Linked DNA regions of Drosophila melanogaster. The protein of the gene in region 2 interacts with the protein of the main gene of each other region in a pairwise test. Each region holds a gene or a part of one and is shown on either strand. Other genes may lie near its edges. The genes, in order: Nepl5, EMC5 and IM18.

Region 1 (4,451 bases), about 13 Mb from region 2:
GGTCTTTATTATGACAGATATGGGAACATACACGAAATCGGACCGCAGATATCCAGTTCGCCACGCTTTGTGGCGGGTTTACAGTGCCTGAACCGGAACAGTACACAGTATCTGGACGAGCGTATTGCAGACATTGCTGGACTGGATCTGGCCTATTCCACCTACTTCCAGAACAGCTCGCAAATGAGTCTAACCGATTTTACGACCATTCCGCCGCAACAAATCTTCTTCCTCAATCTGGCACAGTTCTTCTGCGGCGATGGTGATCCAATAAACTTCGTTGGTCACGACAACGACGAGACGCGTCTGCAGCAAATGCTCAATGGGTTCGCGCCGTTTCACGAAGCTTTTGGTTGTCCAGCAAAGAGCAATCAGCCTGAAAAGTGCCAACTGTGGTAACTGGATTCAAGTAGTGCTTGAAATCTACTAGTGTATAAAACTATATTAAACAATAAACTAGATGGATCTGAAAAGAGTTCACTACCCCATCGAGTTACTCACTCACATTTAAAAAACTCTTCGTTAGGTGAGATTTTATTTATTCATCACTGGATCCTGCCATGTCCTGTGGGAGAGATGGAAAGAGAACTATTACCAGATGCGGCACCGCTGGCTGGCCTGCATCTTGGCCTTCTTATCGCACCCGAACTCCCTAGAGAACTCTTCAAAATTGGCCAGCGTCTGCATCACACGCAACTCATCCGCGGCGTGCTTCAAATGAGCCTCCGACTGAGATCGCGGACTGAGCACGGGCGTCCGGCCGCAAAAGAACTGGGCGAAGGTGATGAAGAATAGCTGCCGCTGGCTGAACTGCGGCAGCAGAGGATCCCTGGGCTCCCGCTTGTCCCGCACCCCGAAAAAGGTCTCATACGCTAGACGCAGAGCCACAAAGTCGGCCAGCTTTTCGTCGATCCACTTGGAACCGGTGGCCATCTGTTGCTGAAGACACTGGAGTCCTTGTCGGAACTGACGGCTAGCGCCGATCTCCTCCACGGGCCCCATGATGTTTCCCATGGCGTCGTAGTCCATTCCCAACATATCGAATCCGTGTGCCAGCTCGTGGGCCAGGACAAATCCCATCACGGCGTGCTGCTGCAGGGCGCTAATGTTTCGATGCCAGATGGGCAGCTGGAGCAGACCGTGCGGCACCAGGACCAGATTGCGTGGTCTCACATACAGGGGCGACGAGTTGCTGGCCTCCCAGCTTTCCGACAGGTAACTCAAGTTGCTCCCCGTGGAATTTGCGAAGTTTGTCACATTTATGTAAAGCAGATCGTGGTTCGCCTCAACGCGTTGTCGCAGCAAGACCAGCTGGTTGCCATAGAAGGAGTGGCCGCTCAGGTCGATGCGGACGTGGTACTGCTCCACATCCTCAATTTCCTCCGTCTGAAAGAAGCCCATCTGCAGTCGAACTGCGCGCAGTTTCTGCTGCAGGATGTGCACCAGTGGTGGCGATAGTCTCATTCGGTTCTCAGCCAAGATTTGGCCAAATCGCACCTTCAAACGCTGGAACAGTGAGCTTACGTAGGATTCGGATTCCGGATCGGAGAACTGCTGACCCACCAGCCAGCTACTGGCCAGAGGCATGGCTCTTCTGAGGGCGGCCACGCACTCACCTCGTGAGATGTCCGCGGGTCCCTGTTGCTTGAGGAAGGCCAACCACTTGAGCATGATGTAGCTGCAAACGGTGTCCGGGCTCTCCGATTCCATCAGATCGCTCAGGGCCCTGAGGTACGGAATATTCTCGATGATTAATGTGGAGCGCAGATCCAGCTCGGAGTCAATGCGTACCTGGCGCATGAAGGATAACCATCGTAGCTGTGGCAGGTACGAGTCCAAGTAACCAAGCTGCATTTCTCGTGGTCCTTCGTCGTCCTCCAGCTCCTGCAGGCGGTGCAATTTTCGTTCGAAGTCGTCCACCTGGCGAGCCAAGGCATTGGCCGTTCGCTTTGTCTGCCCAATGTCCAGAAGCAGCTCGATCATGGCACCTTCTCCCATGGGCTGCGTCTCCTGGCGACTCGGCTTGTTCACATAGATACTGTAGTTGCGAGAGTCATCCCATCGCGGCAGTACCTCCTCCCGCAGCAGCACCCCGTTCAGTCCGTGCAGACGCAGTCGCCCCAAGGTCGTTATCCAGTCGAACCGCTCCGGACGCCAGCCCCGACCCACCGATGGCCACTGCGTGGAGTTGCTGGGGGGCAGGAGCTGCAGGTACTTCTTGAGGTTGTACGGCTTAAGGCGTTTGCACGAACGGTAGTAGAGTCGCATCTGCTCCAGAATCGAGGAGTCCGACTCGAAGGAGCTCTCATTCCTTCGCCGCAGCAGCAGCTCCAGCTTCCGATTCACGGAGTGGTCTATCAGTCCCAGGGTGTCGGTGGGCAGCATCTGACCCTGGTACCGCTGCCGATCCCTCGTCCAATCTCTGTCGCGCAGGGAGTGCTGCTCCTGCTGCTGGATCTGCCAGTTGCCGCAGGCGTACTGGTAGAAGTTCTCGCAGGGACGCGCCTTCGTATCCATGTAGCTTTGCAGCTGCTCGGCCAGCATTTCCTGAACGCTCTGGGGTGCGTTGGTCTGGCGACAGGCGGTGGGCGTGGTGCGCCAAGCCAGCGAAAATATGAGCCAGGCCACTAGGCTTAGCTTCAGCATGATGGTTTCGACTGTGACAAATTGCAACTGGCCGGACTACGATTTGCCCGGATCGCGGAGACTGCGGACTAGAGCAGGCCCATCGCCTGTCAGTCATCATCGTGGGAGGAGCAGTGGATCCTAGCTATATATACACACCCAGTACTTGACCACTTGACCTTTCTATTTTCAGGCAAAGGTGATAATTAACAAAAATGCTTTAATAGGTTCAAAGTTCGAAGAACATGATCCTAGAACGTACTTTATACCCCATTTGGTGGCATATTCTTCAAAGCATTAAACACTCGTAAGATATTATAATATTTGACTTTAAATTGGATCTTCAGTACCTGGAGCCACTGTACTTTGTAGGCTAGGTCGCATTTTGATTAGACATAAGTGCGCGCTTATCAGTTTCACCTTGGCCTTGATACCCGATTGTGGGCTGTTGTGGAACTGACCCACAATGAGCACAATGGCTGTCATTGAACTTGCCTCACGCTGATGCCTCCGTCTCTCCACTTTCAGAACCGAAACCATTCCCGGCCATCCGTCGTACAAGGCGACCATGCGGCTCACGATTACCAACGTTCAGAGCAGCGATTATGGCAACTACAAGTGCGTCGCCAAAAATCCTCGGGGCGACATGGACGGCAACATAAAGCTGTACAGTAAGTGACTAGGCTATATGTGTTATTTATACCCTTTGATATTGCGCCACTGTCATAGGCAAATGTATATGTACACCCCTTTTTAAATGGGCGCCAGTATTTTGGGGGGTCTTTAAACTTGAAACTCCGACAGTTCCTTGATTCCAAAGGAAGCAGATTGTACTGTTCATTTTATCAGGATTTTTGGTGCCCAAATACTTTTTAATATACAGCAAGATTAGATTTTGATATTTAATAAGGAAATGACGCGTTTAATTTGTCTCACCGACGTTTTTCTTCATATCCTTGCCGCCGTCAACGGGGCGTATGCGCAATCCTCACAACCGGCAATTAGAGCCACTGTAGTGTCAATAAAGTGTCAATATTGTGTCAATTTGCTAAATTACTCCCCAGTCACTGTTTGGGCCATTAAAGCTCAGCTCGGCAGCAGCGATTCCGATTACAAAAGTTCATAAAACAAAATAAAATGCCCGCTTGTTGGTGGTGAGGTTGTGAGGTGGTGACAAGAGCCCAACGCCACCAAGAATGGCGAATGTGAAAAGACAACTTAATTTATATATACACGGTTTTCATTCTGCTGCCACAACAATGGCCTGTGTAGCCCATCGAAAAGTGGGCGTCATTCTACCAATTAAAGGTAACAATGGCCGCATCGATAATAGAAGGGGCAGCTCCGACAATGAGAACAATGAACCTGTGACAATTTTATTGAGTGGTCAGGAGGCGATACAGTCGCAGAAAGGCGACATCAACCAGGCATTGGAGTGGGCTATAGTTTCGTGATTCCCAGCCGAGGCAAGGCCAAGTGTCAAGCCCAATAAATTTCCTCTACAAATTGTCTTCAATAATGCCAACGGAGGGCAGCCAGCCGAGAAAAGGAACCGAGAGTTGTTAATCCTCCCCGGGGAGATGGCCAAGAAATTGAAAAGAATCGGGGGGGAAGGGCGGGCAAAAGGGATTGCACTGAATTTACGATGGCTGATAAGTGAAGACAATGCGGCTGGGTAACCGAAAATATCTGTTTAGAAATCGAGCAAAGGAGTTTCGGCACTGATGGGGCGCACATTTTTGGGGCAGGACTGGCTTATAACTCACAGTTAATTTAAGTTGTTTATGGATTGTTTCCGATTGAGCAATCCACTTTTGTTCGGTACC
Region 2 (2,927 bases):
TGCTATGAATGCGATGAAGGCGCTGGGTGTAATAGTAAGGATTTCACCCGGTGCTACCAATGCAGCACGGATCAAGCGGGAGCAGGCTGTGCAAATTGGGAAAGTCCTGGCGAAATCTACATTGAAGAATGCGATGAACCGGCTGCACCATGTGTGGTTGTTTCCTTTAACAACGCCACCACTGCGAGAGGTTGCCAAAAATCGGACTTCAGCTGTGCTTCCGCAAATGTGGCCAGTTGTCGACTATGCGAAGGAAGTTTCTGCAACAAAGGATCATTTCCGGAGGAGCGCCTCTGGTGTCATCAGTGTAGGGGAGTGCAGGACTGCGAGGAGATCTCCAGGGGACAAACGGCTATGCCTTGTCCGGCTCGAGCAAATGAGCCGGAGGATCAAGAATTGGCCTGCTTGGAGTACTTTGACATCAACAGTAAAGAAATTGTAAGAGGATGTCGTTCCAATCCCGAGCTATACTACGAATGTCTCTTAAGGAGTAACCACTTCGACAGTTGTCGCACTTGTCACAGTCAGGCATGCAATAATAGTCCTGGCCGGGAATTAAGAGCCAGCTATGAGCTGGAGGCCAAGGCATTGTCCTTGTTGCAAGGCAAGAGTTCCGCAATATCCATCAAATTTTCGAATGCAGGTTACGGAGTTTGGTTGATCTTTAGCGTTATCTATATTGTAACTTGCTGAGACTATAAATAAAAGGATAGCAGAACTTAAAAGAAAGGTCTCTTATTCCGGGGGCGTATATCCAGGATTTAAGGCACGACCACGGTGATTGAAGGAATAGAACGAGGGGAAGTTGCCCAAGGTGTCCCAAGTTTTCTGTTGCATGTCCACGGTGGCGCGAATTTCCTTGAAGTTGCCAACGATCTCGATGATGTTGTAAATCACAATCACCAAACTGATGACGGTCTGCAGGATAATCTAAGGATTGATAAAGGAAAACTTTTCGTGAGTAACCATGCAAGCACCCTAAATGCACCGAAACCTACGTCCAATGGAAGGCTATTCCATTCCTGCTCCGTCAGCCTCAAATAGGTGCGATCTGTGGAGTAAATGCGGCACTTAGTGGTCCAAAGTTTATTTACCACAACAGTGACGAAAACTTACGATGGGCAGCAGAAAAAGCAGCATGTGCCAGGCTGGCAAATCCGGCAATTAGCAAGAGTTTGTTAAACAGTTTACTGCCCATTTTTATTGAACAATTACGAATTACAATCACAGTCGGTACAATTTTCTACAAAATTTTGCTAAATTGCTATCAAAATGCGGGCACACCTAGGGCTGGGAGCTTTGGACGATAGTTTAGGGTTGTCTGTATACCTCATATGCCGTAATATATTTAAGAATCTTAAATTTAAATATTTTATTGGGAACAACATTAAAATTATACAAAGATTGATTTTGTGATCAAACTAATTATATAATTATATTATAACTATATAAACATACAATAAATATTCGGTTACATATTTTGCTTAAGAAAGTTAAAAACTTTCGTAAAATTTGAAACCGTCTGTTCATCAGCTAGCTTTAAATAATGATTATATACATTATTAGTAACAGAATGAATTAAAAAAATTGTAAGGTATATATATTGCCTCGAAATTCAGCTGACTTTGGTATTTGTCAGCACACGGTCACTCGAAAAATGCCGCCGCGCCCGCTGGTATATTTGAACGCTCGTGTCACGGTCGCACTTTCATTCGTCTCTCAGCGTTCAGAAGATTCGGTAGTCGCGGCGGTCGAAGCGGAACACCAGTTGTCCAATAAGAAAGCCAATTTGCAGCAAAAAAAAAAAAAAAGACCGGCAATTCAAACGCACCTTGCAACTGTTTTTTCAAAGCCAAAAAAGGACTCAGGGCCACTCCCCACGACAAAAGCTTACGTGCAACGAGTCCGTGTGTGTTTTCCTGGCGCATCGCCGCATTTGTGTGTGTATCCGGACATCTCTTTTACGGTCCTTTTTGCGTGGGTGTGCCAAAAGGAAGAGAGAGTGAGAAGGCAGCAGAAAAGGGCAGAAAGGGAAATTCCAGCACACTAAAAAGCGAGTCAACAAGGAGCGACACAATGTCCGTTTCCTCGAACGCCTCATCCGCCTCCAACAAGGACAGCGTGGACAGCCCCAGCAGCACCACCAACACGGACAGCTCCGAGCTGACGCACATCCTCAATCGGCGCCAGGAGATCATGGAGTCCCAGGAGGCGGGCATCGAGGTGCGTCGCACCTACAAAGTGGTCAACGTCTACACCGACTTCCCCGAGTTCTCCCGTAACCAGATCAAGGACTACCAGAAGACCTTCAATACGTAAGTGAAGGCCGCCGAGCAATATTTACTTTTGTCCAGAGCCACTTTAAGGCGCAATATAAATTATATTAATATGGCGAAAAGGAAGCCAACATTTTGTTTATTGTTTTTGAAAACACCTGAGCAAAATCCGTTGCAATAATAATAGTTTATGATAAGTAACGATCATCTCTAGATTATTAAATAAATACAGTGTACTAGACACACTTGTATACATTACAAACGTTTGTAAATGTATATCTATTACACAAGATAATTCAAAAACAGAAATCAGTTTGCAAAACTATTTTAGGGCTTTCAATTTGCGCCAACCTTTACACTCCTTTCACCTGCAACGGCCACTTTCCCAGGCATCTCACCGCATTTGCGTCTCATTAAATGGCAACATAAAACTCATGCGCCTAATGATCATTTAAATTGCATTTACTGCAGCCCCTCCTGCAGCCAACCCACCCCTCCCCTGCCCCCCTGGGCAATGGGGCATGACTCACAAGTACTTGCGGAGAAGTTTTGTCACAGTCACTGGCTTATTCCCAAGTCGTGCTCCCGTCGCGCGGATCATGAGTCAAAAGTGGTTTTCTGCCCCAACACTTTCAGGCGGATTCAATTATC
Region 3 (3,438 bases), on a different chromosome or scaffold from region 2:
TTGAGAACATAGTTAAGTTCCTCGCCTCTGCCCTTCTCGGAAAATTTGTCAGTGAATTGACGTCTATCATATGTAAAAAAAAAATTATTTTTACGGGTCATTTGAATAATAAAATACTTACTTAGCAGGAAATTCGTTTAAATTATTATTCGACCTTGGGTGGAAAATGTTTCTACCGTGGTAAAAGTTTCTATGCCTTGGTAAATTTCTGTGCAACTCATTGGAAGGCCAACTAATATTTAGAAGATTTACAAATAAAGTTTGGATAAATTTCCAGTACTACATACCAAACTCTTTCTTGACATAGCACCTGAGGTTGAAATAGCCTGTTGCACGATGCCGAGCCTAAGATTCGTGCAACAGGAAACATGGCTTCTTAAGTTTAGGATAGAACGAAATCAGTGTGGCAGAAATACATTTTACAAGTCTGAAAGTACAATGTGGATATTTGACGTACGGTCAAAAGCAACTACTTCGATATGAAATTTAGAATTTGCAATAAATTTAGAAATAATTATTACGCATTTTATAAATAGTAAGCAGATGTGTATCAAGGCCATTTCATAAGTAAGATAAGGAAACTGGGCGATTAATTTAGTTTAGGCGTTTCAAATCTTTATTGTTTCATTCTTTACGTCAGGCGTACATAGTCTTCGATGGTTTCCCAATCGGAGCGTCGTAGTACAGTGGTCGTTGCTGTGAGCTTGGAGACCTGAACGGATTTCCGGACCCAGCTCCAGATCCCGATCCGTTTCCTGGTCCAGTGTGGCGAGATGGCGAGGCGACGCCGGGAGCAGCTAGGAAGCCCAGGAGGCCCAAAAGGAGCAGGCAGCACAATGCGATCAGCTTCATGGTTGGCAATCTCAAGTGAATCTGAATGCCGACCTCCGGCAATAGCTTGTTTTTATACGCTGCACTCGTATGCCCTTGGGATTGGGAAGCACCCGGGGGGATTTTGCTATTCGCTGAAATCACCGACTTTGGGTGATTTCTTATCAGCTGGGGGGCGTCGATCAGATTTTCTCTCCTTCCTCTCGCGATTGGAATTCACCTTCACATCGAACTCCATGCCACGGATGCAGCGGGTCAGGTCGGTTAGATTGGCCTCGACGCGCTTTTGCTTGAGTGCCAGCTCATGGGATTGCAGATCCAAGATTCCGCGTTCCTGACGATGGGATTTGATTAGATGGCGCTCGATTTTTGTATCATCTATCTTGAAAGGTAACAACTTACTGTTTGCAGATCCTCCAGTTTTAGTTGATTTTCTATGCGACTCTGATCGGGCAGGACAACCAGATAACTTCTATATATCAAAATGTTATGATTGAATATGTATAATCACAGAATGCAACCTACCTGATGGTGCAGCCTCTGAAGCGGCTGAGAATAGATCTGATTATTGGGTTAATGTCCATGCTTACGAAAATGAAAACAGCTAATTTTGATTATCTCTAAAAGTTTGAAAGTAATTGCAAAGTGTTGAAGATACTTCAAACTGGCAAACTGCTGATATGGAGCTGAAATTCTGCATATAACCACATTTTATAGTTATCTCATTCTTCGCTATGCCAAAAACTATGCTACGCATTCTTGCTGTCCCATAGGTGGCGCGTTGGTTACGCATGTCAAATGTAAAATTACCATCGCCCTTGCCAGTACAAACAAGTTGTTGCAATCATTTAGTTTTATGTTTATTTATTCATTCTTATGTTTCGGAGGGCTTGTTTCAACTCTTTGAGCACTAATATAAGTTTACCCCTCGCAGTCTTCGCCTCGGACGACTTACTTTTCTCAAGGGCTTTGATTTGCATTTCAAGTGACTCGATTTGTGCGGTCAGTTCCATGATCCTTGCCTCTTTTCCCTTGTTCCCCTGCAAATGTTTCTTGGAGGTAAACGTTCTTTATGAGTCATTGAAATGTTTAGTTAGGAGATACTCACAACATGATACGTGTCGATACCGCCACTGCCTCCTTTGTCAAAAAGATCGCTAAACGGTCGTCTCTTGCTGCATGGAAATTGTGGATTTAAGGGAACTCACATTGCGGACGTACTTACCATAGAAACATGGTATCTCTTGTCTTTAAAAAAGTAAGAATCTTATAAGCCCCCCGAAACATACTTTAAGCTCTGCGTCAAATTTGTGTACTTATGCTTTTTTCGTTAATAAGTTTCTCCACGCCAACTAGGTGAGGCAAAAACACATTCAAAAATGGCTAACAAATGATCCAAGTAAACCTAACCCCTCTTGCTTTGCGAATATATTTGTTAAACATTTCCAATATACGAATTCGGTAGGAGAATCAATACTCAGACATACATAGTTAGTCAGTGATCATTTAGTTAGTTAGTTTTTTCCTTAAATTGTCTGTGATACATTACATATTACGGATAATTCACGATGATCTGGGACTTCTTTACCTTTATACGCGGAGCCACCGAGTTCAGTGCCACTGCGCTACTGATTTTGCTCGGTTGCATGGGAGACTCAACGAACCAAGGTGGTGAGAGCAAATTCTTGGTGGCCAGGTGATGCTTAGTGAGATTTCTATAATAGAATATTGTTAAATACTCTATCGTATAGCGTTCACTATGGCCTGACGGTGATGGTGGTGATGCACGTGTTTGGCTTCGTATCCGGAGCCCATTCGAATCCATGCATCTCGATCTCATGCTACTTGATGGGCTACATCGCCCTGGAAGTGATGATGATGTACGTGGTGTGTCAGATGGCCGGTGCTTTCCTTGGTTACTTCCTGCTAATGCAACTGCTGCCCAAGGAGCTGGTGGACAAAAGCAAGCCAGGCATTTGCCTGGTACAACCGATGGACACTCTGTCCACATACCAGGTCGTCATCATCGAGTGCCTGCTGACCGCGGTCCTCGTGCTCGGATGGTGCTCCTTGTGGGACGTGCGAAACGGAAGGTTCCTCGACTCGGTCGCCATTCGCATGGGTCTCCTCGTGATCGCTTGCAGTTTCGCAGGGGTGAGTTGAAAGGCTTTGGATTTTGTATCTATAGATACTATAGCTATATATGCATTTATTGCAGATTCAACTAACTGGAGCCAGTATGAACCCCGCCAAGACATTGGTGCCTGCCATATTCTACGGCAGTCCGAATTCGGTTCTAATGCAGCTGACTGGCCAGATCCTGGCCGCCATCATGGTGCCCTTCGTGTGGAATCATGCGTATACGCCACCTTATAAGCCCTTGGAAATTCCAGTGTGCAACTGAGCTGTGACAATAAACATAAGCTCGACGTTTTTGGCTACCGTGTGGCTTATTTGATCAAGTGTATGAGCAATTAAATATTAACGATAAGCAGTTCGCCGTGGCGTAAAAATAATCTGGCTTAGATAAGCATAGCATTTACATTAGATTAAATATATAGTCGTCAGGCGTTGGAAATTATTTAAGCTATTTATTTGCACGCTTCG

Evidence for each region.
Region 1: the proteins of EMC5 (region 2) and Nepl5 interact in a two-hybrid assay, tested with the Drosophila melanogaster proteins (one large-scale study listed by BioGRID).
Region 3: the proteins of EMC5 (region 2) and IM18 interact in a two-hybrid assay, tested with the Drosophila melanogaster proteins (one large-scale study listed by BioGRID).

What each region holds. Positions count from the first base shown.
Region 1 is NT_033779.5:6,379,493-6,383,943, reverse strand, and holds Nepl5 (Neprilysin-like 5), read right to left. Parts: upstream 2,679-4,451; 5' UTR 2,647-2,678; coding exon 592-2,646; 3' UTR 525-591; downstream 1-524. Other genes in the region: Nepl6 (Neprilysin-like 6), read left to right, coding at 1-399; DIP-epsilon (Dpr-interacting protein epsilon), read left to right, coding at 3,154-3,296.
Region 2 is NT_033779.5:18,986,060-18,988,986, reverse strand, and holds EMC5 (ER membrane protein complex subunit 5), read right to left. Parts: upstream 1,281-2,927; 5' UTR 1,199-1,280; coding exon 1,117-1,198; intron 1,052-1,116; coding exon 999-1,051; intron 931-998; coding exon 736-930; 3' UTR 694-735; downstream 1-693. Other genes in the region: CG15170 (uncharacterized protein), read left to right, coding at 1-693; Swip-1 (Swiprosin-1), read left to right, coding at 2,077-2,315.
Region 3 is NT_033778.4:23,600,318-23,603,755, forward strand, and holds IM18 (immune induced molecule 18), read right to left. Parts: upstream 1,457-3,438; 5' UTR 1,416-1,456; coding exon of another isoform or gene 1,357-1,415; intron 1,304-1,356; coding exon of another isoform or gene 1,234-1,303; intron 1,166-1,233; coding exon of another isoform or gene 959-1,165; 5' UTR 853-958; coding exon 637-852; 3' UTR 597-636; downstream 1-596. Other genes in the region: CG42559 (uncharacterized protein), read right to left, coding at 1-63, 122-232, 288-370; CG10332 (uncharacterized protein), read right to left, coding at 959-1,165, 1,234-1,303, 1,357-1,415; CG43209 (uncharacterized protein), read right to left, coding at 1,692-1,883, 1,940-2,006, 2,057-2,118; Eglp1 (entomoglyceroporin 1), read left to right, coding at 2,400-2,527, 2,583-2,985, 3,050-3,235.